3 separate regions of the Mus musculus genome follow, and all the other regions are reported to be linked to region 1. Evidence: microRNA targets listed by miRTarBase, many of them from high-throughput screens and not tested one by one. Region 1 holds a microRNA gene; each other region holds the end of a gene's coding sequence.
Evidence for each region. The annotated mature microRNA mmu-miR-15a-5p reads UAGCAGCACAUAAUGGUUUGUG and lies in region 1 at 2,177-2,198, opposite strand. An mRNA with a match to its seed (bases 2 to 7 or 8) in the 3' UTR can be bound and repressed. Matches are read on the target gene's strand: a 7mer-m8 pairs with bases 2 to 8, a 7mer-A1 pairs with bases 2 to 7 and ends in A, and an 8mer does both.

Region 1 (3,151 bases):
TGTACTCATACACAGAAAAAATGCTCCAAAAACGGAGTCTATAGTTAATTAAATCAACTTGTTAAAACTTACTTAATTTTACCTTTAAATTAGAATTGAGTAGTGGTTCTTTTGAGGACAATTCCTTAAAAAATAACTGAAATACTTTTAGGATCTCCACAACACACGGTAGAATTAATTATGAACCTTTAATCTGAAAAGGTAAGAGACTCCTTGTAAAAAGTAATGACAGAGTTAGAGGACATTATTGTGAGATAATGTGTTTTCTTGAACATTTTAAAATAATGACGTAAAACATTTAAAATAAAGCACATGGGATAGTTAAAAGAACATTTCCGGGCTGGTGAGATGGCTCAGTGGGTAAGAGCACCCGACTGCTCTTCCGAAGGTCCGGAGTTCAATTCCCAGCAACCACATGGTGGCTCACAACCATCCGTAACGAGATCTGACTCCCTCTTCTAGAATGTCTGAAGACAGCTACAGTGTACTTACATATAATCAATAAATAAATCTTTAAAAAAAAAAAAAAAAAAAAAGAACATTTCCTTTGAAATAATTAAAATATTCTGAATATATTTATAAAATTAATGACTGTTAGCTTTAATCTGAAGTTAAATATTAAGGCACAGATGAGATGTCTTTCATACTTTTGACTTATAAAAATCTCCTGTTAAACATTTTAGTGAAAAATAAGAAAAACAGTAATTATTAAGTTAGAAGATATAGGATTTATACCCTAATATGTCATAGGTTGCAAATTAAATTTCAGATTGTTTCCTCAGTTAACCAATAAAAAGGTCAGCTATTCTAAGGATTCTTCTAAATTTAAGTTTAAAAATTCAACGTACACATTTTAGTGTTATTCTCCTTCATTTAAAATGAAATATTTAGGCACATTATACTCAAGATTATGTTATAATCTGTAGCATTTCAAACTTTATCTGTATCTAAAGAAAACTTCAAATCAAGAGAAAAGTATTTTTCTATTATAAGTAATAATATGAGTTTAAATTCATGTACAATTTGGTACTTCCTAAACTCTTTCAAATAAACTTTTATATGGAAATGCTGGAAAGAGAGCTCGAGCCTTGGTGGTACTGGGTATATTCTGTACCACTGTAGCTCTCAAGAAACTCTGGAAAGGTGTTCAAGACTTAAAAATACTTGTTATATTATTAGTCAGTGCTCCATCTGTGGATCCAACCAACCACACATTCAAAACATTTGGGTGGCCAGGCATTGGGGCCTACAGTTTTAAACAAAGAATTTGGGAGGCGGAGGCAAGAGGATCTCAGTGAGTTTCATGGCAGCCTGGTCTACATGGTGAGACCCAGGCTCAAAAGACCAAACCAAAAAACTTATTTCTTGGACAAAAACTGCATTAGTACTGAATTGTACAGTTTTTTTCTCATCATTAAGAGAATAACTTGAATAATACAACTATCCATGTTAACATCCCACTGCACTACACATTAAAAACAATGTAGAGATAAGTTTAAATAAGTATAAGGGAGGATATGCACTGGTCACGAGCAGACATTTTATACAGGAGATCCAAGCATTTACAAATCTGGGTATCTAGAAGTCCTATAATCAGTTCCTCACACAGAAGTCATTATGTTTTGTTTGTTTTTAAAAGACAGATCCTTACATAGGTCTTAGACTTGCTTTATGGCCAAGGATGATGTTAAGCCTCTAATTCTCTTTTTTCCACTTCCTCAGATCTAGGATTACAAGTGTACCTGGTATGCAGTGGTAAGGCTAAAACCCATGGCCTTGTGCATGCTAGCAAGAAGCACTTGGCCAACTGAGCTGCATTACCATCCCACAATTATATAGTATTTTAACAGACACAATATGTAGAGCGTTGTTACTAACATCATTACAGAATCATACCAAACATAAAATCACTAATGCAATTAGAAAAACCGTGTAAACACACAAGTAACATCAATACACATTGAATTACAGTTGTAGAGTATTGCCAACCTTACTTCAGCAGCACAGTCAATACTGGAGGTAATTTCAGAATCTTAACGCCAATATTTACGTGCTGCTAAGGCACCGCTGACATTGCTATCATAGGAGCTATGAATAAAAAGACAGGTACTCTCTTCAGAAGATCAGGTCCTTGTATTTTGAGGCAGCACAGTATGGCCTGCACCTTTTCAACATCCACAAACCATTATGTGCTGCTACTTTACTCCAAGGGTTGGTTTTGAAAACTCCTAGCACCTCAATAGTAATTTACAGAAAAGGCTTTTTAGGAAAAAGTAGAACACATAAAATCTATGTTTGAAAAAAATCTAACACTGGTATGTGCATAATTTTATAGGCTTTCAGCAGAATAAAAAGTATTTCCATATCATAAGTTTAATAAAAGCGTACAGAAAACTTAATACAGTGCTGTAATTTATTGTAGTCATGAAACGAGAAAAGCAAGTCATTTTCCCATACCAACTTAAGAACCTCATTTATTAAACTAACAACTTTTGAATGTGCTTAACACATGAAATAGCTACAAAAGTTGGTTTTTACCTTATTAAGAGCAGCACATCTTTCAAAGCCAAATCCATAGGACAAAGCTTCATGTTAAAGGAAACATGTAAGAACAAACATGTAAGAGCTCAGTTTCAAGAAATTTATACTAGCAAAATATTTAGAAGACATACACATGAAACATATTCCCCAAAAATATATAACCCCCAATCTACACATGAACACAAGATTTATCTCAATATTGGAATAGTTATTGTGAGTTCAGTGTCATTTATTATTACCCAGAACATCATCTTAGGATAACAGGTCTATTTGGTTTCCTAAAAGGATATATCAGAAATCCTGTAGCTCAAGCCTAAGTAACCATTTGTGTGTTTCCCAGTTAAAAAGGCTAGTCCTTTAAAGGAGTATCATTTTATACCACAGGACTTTGACTTAGCTGAAACAAAATTTTTACTACGTTAAGTTCCAACTTCATTTTATGTGTGTGTGAATATCTAGGTTTTCTTACACTATTAAGAAGACTCTTTTCTGTTTAGTGGGGGACTTAGCCATCCCTTCACAAAGAACTGTTCTTATTATTCCAGTTCATACCAGATTTTCCATTCAAACTAGATTACTGTGTAGCAAATGTTTTCTAGTGGGTCAATGC
Region 2 (3,000 bases), not on the chromosome of region 1:
GCTATGTGGCATGAGTATGCCCTGACAAATGAAATGAAATTTTAAAAATCTGACATGACCGGATGATCAAAGATGGCATCAGAGACACAGGTGTGGGTTTTGCTGCCATGGTGGTCCACAGCAGCACAGACGGTCCGGTCAGCCTGGCTACATAGTGAAGTACTTTGTTCGGTCTCTTCCAGGAATATGCCCAAGCCAGATTCGAGGCCTACTTTGACCAGAAGAGGAAGCTTGGGGTGTGAATGGGGTGGCTCCATTCTTCACCACTGGACTGCGGGAGGCGGCTGCACCAGGCCCTCAGTGGAGCGCTGCTGTGACCACTGCCCTGGGCAGAAGGCCTGGATGTCTCACTACTGAGCACCGATGTGTATGATACTACAGACTATATTAAAGTGGAGTAACATTTCTTTCATCTTTGTTTACACTCTCACTAGGACTCTGAACCATGATTGGAAGCAGAAATATAGTACGATAGTGCAATAGCTCAGAACCCGCCTAAACTGAAGGCCTTTTGGCTGCATGGCTACAGCTTTCAGCCACTTACGGCCCCAGCTGGACAGAGCAGTGCTGTGTGGGTACTCCAAGTGCTGACTTAGGATATTAATGTGCTGCAACACATTTGTCACCAGGCTTTGAAGGTGACAGCCTGACAATGTGTTGGAGACACTTCTGAAGGGCAAGTGAACAGACATACTGTGAAGTGGCTCAACAGGAGGAGCCTGAGTTGTGGGGTCTATGGATGGCAACCAGCTGATTCTGTACAGGGTACACTTGACTGTGGGTATGCAGGTGGCAGCTGCAGCCCTCCTGTGCTTGTGTACGCATGACTGCATGGACCAGCACCACTGCCTGGCCATAACTTCAGTGTCTCCTAACTGGGTGTGCTTTATAGCTCCAGCTTCCTGGGAGGAGCAGTGGAGCCAGCTCCCTCACCCCTTCTTGCCTTCCCTCTGCCTGGCCTGGAACTCGGGCTTCTGCCCATTGCCCTCTGAAGCTGCTTCCCATCTGATGTCACTGGGAGACAGCAGCTGTCTGTGGGGTATTGGGGTGCAGGTAGATTAGAGCTGTGAAATCCATGTACATTAATACCCAATGGGATAAACTTAGATTTTTTTTTTACTCTGAACTCTGAATTGTTTGTGCACATATTTCTGCTACCACCAAGACTGTATTATACAGATAAATAAACAACTTGAAACCTGTTCTCAGACTGTTACCCTTCATATGTCAGTGCCCTGCTCTCTCCATCAGCACACACAAGCCATGTGACTAGTGCCAGGCTGGACATCCTCTTCACCACACCACACCACACCTCATTCAGAGCAACATCAAATTTTGTGCCCCGCTGATGTCCATGGCCCCAGGTTTGCCACCCTTCCTGACAGACCCTCACTCTGCTGCTCTGCCAAGGAGTCAGGCCCAGACAGCAGCTGCAGCTCTTCCTGTTGCTCTGACCAACCAAGCTTCAAGAATGCTGCACGCCAGCACAGTCTTACATGGCCTTTCTTCAAACTCCACTGACAGATAGGATGGAAGTGGTGGCCGTGGCTTGCTTGTTCTTGCCCTGTGCTTCACTCCAGCTGACTCTCAGCTGCCTAATGAAATAACAGGCATGATGAGCCCTCAGGCTTTTCTTATTTATTATTTTTATTTTTTTGAGACAGGGATTCTCTGTGTAGCCCTGGCTGTCCTGGAACTTACTCTGTATGACCCAGGCTGGCTTCGAACTCAGAAATCCACCTGCCTCTGCCTCGAGTGCTGGGATCAAAGGCTATTTTTATTATTTTTAATTATGTGGTAGGAAGAGGTACATACACATGAGTCCCAGAAGTCCAGGAGTAGGATGCCCTGGAACTGGAGTCGCAGGCAGCTGAGAACTGCCCAGTGAGTACTAGGAAGCAAACACAGGTCCTCTGCAAGAGCAAGCCAGGCTCTTACCTTCACTGAGCCATCTCTCCAGCCCAACTCCTGCTTCTCTACAACTACCCATTTGTGACAGTGCTTTTCCCAAATGACCTTTGTAGCCCTTACTCTACCTGCCTGCTCAAATGAGCAGAGGTCAGATCAATCACACCGGTTAAGTGGTGATAACTGCCAGGACAGTGCTTGCTGCTGTTAAGGCATGCTGTTCCCATGGCAACTGGAATAGCCAGCCTAGGAAGGCAAACTTCAGAGCTAGGGCTGGCCTGCTAATGTCCTGGGGATCCTCTACATTCGTCTGCCCAGCTATGTTATGTTCCTCTTAGCTTAGTCTGCCAAGCATGTGTAAGTGCCTTAAAGAGACTAGCATTCCCAGCCCTGTATTCAGAGAGCTTCAGCAGGACAGTCTACAACCCCCACCCCCAACCACCCCAGTAGCTTGGCCGGGGCCATTGTGGCTCACTATGCACAGAGCAGCTCTGGCCTCAAAGCAGCCTTTGTTGCTGGGGCCTTCAGCTGCAAGAACTACTTTGTAACTTGGAAAACTTGAGTCTCTGGCCTCTGACATGCACTGGCTATGTATGTGCCTCCCAGCCGGAGGGAATGAAAGAGGCAACTCCTACCTCAGCTAAACATGGAGGACCTTAAGGACTTCAGGGAATACAGGGCCAGTTTGCACACCTCGAAAAGTGGGAAGCTCACTCCTCCCACCTGGTTGGAATCCACTCCCACAAAACTAAACTGGTCCTTCTTGGCCTAGAGCTAACCCTCTGGTTCCCAAGAGTCTGGAGATGTGCTCATGGGGTATCCCAGCAGCATCTAAAGGCTTAGATGCTAAACCAGTGCCTCCTATCCTCTAACTCTGCTGAAGAATGGTCCAAATAGATGTCATATTCAGAGTCTAGAGCTCTGGCCACTGTAGTGTCAGCCTAACCCTGGTACCCCAGAGAGGACAGAGACAAAGTTCCTGGGCCAGCCAGCTCTTTATTCCTGTCCCACTTCGGAGAAGCAGGGATTGCAGTGGGTAGCTAGTCACTGTCCACAGTGAAGGTGAAGGGGCTGAGCTTGTAGCCGGTGCCT
Region 3 (3,000 bases), not on the chromosome of region 1:
TCACCTACTTTCCAATCCTCCCACTGATCTATATCTATCTATTCACTCATCTACCTATCCACCCATCAACCTATTATCCATCCACTCATCCATCCATCCATCCATCCATCCATCCATCCATCCATCATGAATCCACCCACTCAACCATCCACCACCTATCATCCATTCACCTATCCACTCACCCACCAATCCACCCATCCACTCATCCATGTATCCACCCACCCATCCACCTAGCTACTTACCCACCTAACCCACCCATCCACTCATCCATTTATCTACCCATATACTCACCCATCCATCCACCCACTCTCCAGCTATTCATCTGCCTGAGTTTACACTATGAGAAAATACCGTATCTGAAACTCAGCTACAATACACATGGAACACTATAAGGGGATAATATAAAACAACCTTGCGATCTGTAGATTAAGTATAAGCATGAAATGTGTAGAAGTCAAATATGCTACTATGTCTGCTCTCCATTTGTTTTAGTACTTTTTAAAAAAAAAGTGGAAATCAAAAATCTAAACTTTTTACTTTGTTCTCGTTTTGTAAAGTATTCAAGCAACTTGAATTTAAATTTTAGACTAAATCAAATTTGCCAAAAAGAATCTCTAAAAATAATCTGAATTGGATTTTAGTCGTTTCTCATTCTTTTGAAGGTTACAGAATGCAACGGGCAAAAGCTTTCTCTCTAGCTATAAAATCAAACTAAAATTAACTTGTTGGCAAAACTACAGGACAAGTGACAACGGAGAAGCTCGTGAACATTTGTGAGTAAGGAGCCACTAGTTATATTCTGATGTGACATCAGTAGAAAAAATCCTGACAATGGCTGCGTAGCTTTAATGTCTTCCCTCCACCCTGAGAGCATAAGGACCTTACCAAAAAAAGTTTTGCCAAACATGAGTGCTGGGTTCTACAGGGCACATGGGAGACAGAACAAAAGGCTCAAATGTCAACGTCGCGAGGATGATGTCAACATGGTGGGTCTCAGTGTGGAAAAGCAGAACTGAGAAAGAAAGAAAAAGCCTCTCACCAATTACCAAGGACAGCGAGTCACAGCAGCGGCCACGTGTGCGCAGGCTCCAGGATGGCCATGGCGCAGCACAGAGCACTCAGACACACGCCAAAGCAGGGCGTAGGGAGGGGCTTGCACATGGGCTTTCACTGTCATAGTGACATGAGGAAAACCTACTACTGGCAGGTGTTACAGGATAGCTGGCCAAGCGGACAGGCGTCCACACACATAGCAGGCGATGTGGGCGGCTGGGTGACATCCCAAACTCATGAGCAAAAACCATTTTTAATTATCCCACAGGCATTCCCTGTCAACTGACACAATGTCACCCCGGATCTGAATCTTTCTTTTCATAAACAGTGAGAGATATTAAGAGCTGCAGGCCACGTAAATAATGCACCTAAGGGAAGGCAGTGTCCTGGTCCCTCTGCAAGGTCCTCCCTGTAACCCAAGCCTGCGGATATCACAGACTTATTTAAATAAGCAGCTGTCCTTCCAGAATTGCAAAGCAGACACTGGACTTTGAGCCCCTGCCTCAGCCAGGACTATGGAATCGCCATTTGGTAAAAAGGATCAGGGCAGGAGAGGGGAAGTCAGGTCTCTGCCCGGGCAACTGGCTGAATCAAGTTTATCTTGTGAGGTACTTTTTAAAATTGAAAATGTGCCGACAACAGGAGAGAAGAGAGCTGTGCTTCAGGAGGGGTGTGGCCCTGTTTGAGAGACTGAGCAGGAATCTAGCCACAGCACCATGGGTTGTGAACAGCTGGTGGCATCTCTCAGCTAAAGCCAAGCTTCCATGATTCAGAGCAAGGGGGGTGAGGTGCTGACCTGTGCTCACTCCCTGGTGAACAGAGGAGCAGGGATCCCAGAAAATAAAACGTGGAGGTCTCTTTTCCACTGGGTGGAGTAGGAGGGAACCAGATGCGGCCGCTCTGCCATGCAAGCTCTGCAGACTCTAGGCAGCTTGAACATGGCCTGGCTAACTGGTGCCCAACGCTATCAGGGCTAGCCATGAAAGTGAACTCCATCTGCCAAAGTCAGTGGGCACTTTCCACATGAGTACCCACAGGGCTCCCCTCATAAAAATGGCCGCTCTCGGTTGCAAGCGCCAAGATAGAGAAAGCAAACGATCGTACACATTTCCTTGGAGGCCACCAGGCCCAGTGTGCAAACAGACAAACATTTCATTCTGATTTGTTAAACTTTCCCCTCTACAACCATATCTACCTGGAATTCAATTTGCAAAGGGAAGAAACAGGAAAACGTATCACCCACTGGTTGGAAGACATCACTGAGACACACAGCCAGTGATCTTGCAGAGAGCTGACGTGGGGCAGCTGCGCAGATACGTGGCAAGCCCACCAAATCAGGATGGACAGGAGAGGGGACTCTCACGGCTGAGAGGGAAGCAAGATGCTGTTCCAGGGTGATGCACTAATACTGCGAGTTTCCTGGTGTGCAGCACGGTGTGCTGTGTTCTGTGGCACTTAAGTATTACACAGTAAATACTCAACAAATCCAGAAGGATGTGCAGAAGCAAATCACACTGTTAATACAAAAGGGACTAAAGCTACAGGGAAATACCACTGTGAGGGTGCAGAGAGCACAGGAGCTCCTAACACACTTGCATATGGGGCCCTGGCTGTCCACTGGTCGCCTGGCCCTTGTGCCTCAGTCAGACCAGTCATTCTCATCAAACTCAGAGTCGTCGTCTGAGTCGCTGTACTCCACAGCAATGCGTCTAGACAAGATGGTGGCCACGTCATTCCCGACAGGCTCCCGCTTGGCTTCCTGCTCGCGTTGCTCCTGCACCTTTTTCAGTTGGATTCCTGCAAACAGGAGACGGGGTGGGGTGGGGGGATCAGTCTCCTGGCTCCCAGGGAAGGACACCAAACAGGTTGCCCTATCTAGACGAGTTTATAAAGACAAGACCCTGAACATTGGAGGGAGGGCAGAGAAAACATATAAACTCAGGCTAT

Region 2: the mRNA of Chka is a reported target of mmu-miR-15a-5p. The part of its 3' UTR that is shown has no 7-base or 8-base seed match.
Region 3: the mRNA of Wasf3 is a reported target of mmu-miR-15a-5p. The part of its 3' UTR that is shown has no 7-base or 8-base seed match.

The regions. Positions count from the first base shown.
Region 1 is chr14:61,629,899-61,633,049 of GRCm38, forward strand. Mir15a (microRNA 15a) reads right to left here and starts at 2,212; the gene lies at 2,129-2,212. It overlaps Dleu2 (deleted in lymphocytic leukemia, 2), which reads right to left. Exons shown (of 7, transcript NR_028264.1): 4 at 2,539-2,585. It overlaps Mir16-1 (microRNA 16-1), which reads right to left and starts at 2,074; the gene lies at 1,982-2,074.
Region 2 is chr19:3,893,166-3,896,165 of GRCm38, forward strand. It overlaps Chka (choline kinase alpha), which reads left to right. Exons shown (of 12, transcript NM_001271496.1): 12 at 183-1,204. The coding sequence ends at 242. It overlaps Tcirg1 (T cell, immune regulator 1, ATPase, H+ transporting, lysosomal V0 protein A3), which reads right to left. Exons shown (of 20, transcript NM_001136091.2): 20 at 2,885-3,000. The coding sequence ends at 2,949. Among named protein-coding and RNA genes, the nearest start is that of Tcirg1, 12 kb to the right of the region's middle.
Region 3 is chr5:146,470,070-146,473,069 of GRCm38, reverse strand. It overlaps Wasf3 (WAS protein family, member 3), which reads right to left. Exons shown (of 10, transcript NM_145155.3): 10 at 1,945-2,850. The coding sequence ends at 2,693. Among named protein-coding and RNA genes, the nearest start is that of Gm6408, 10 kb to the left of the region's middle.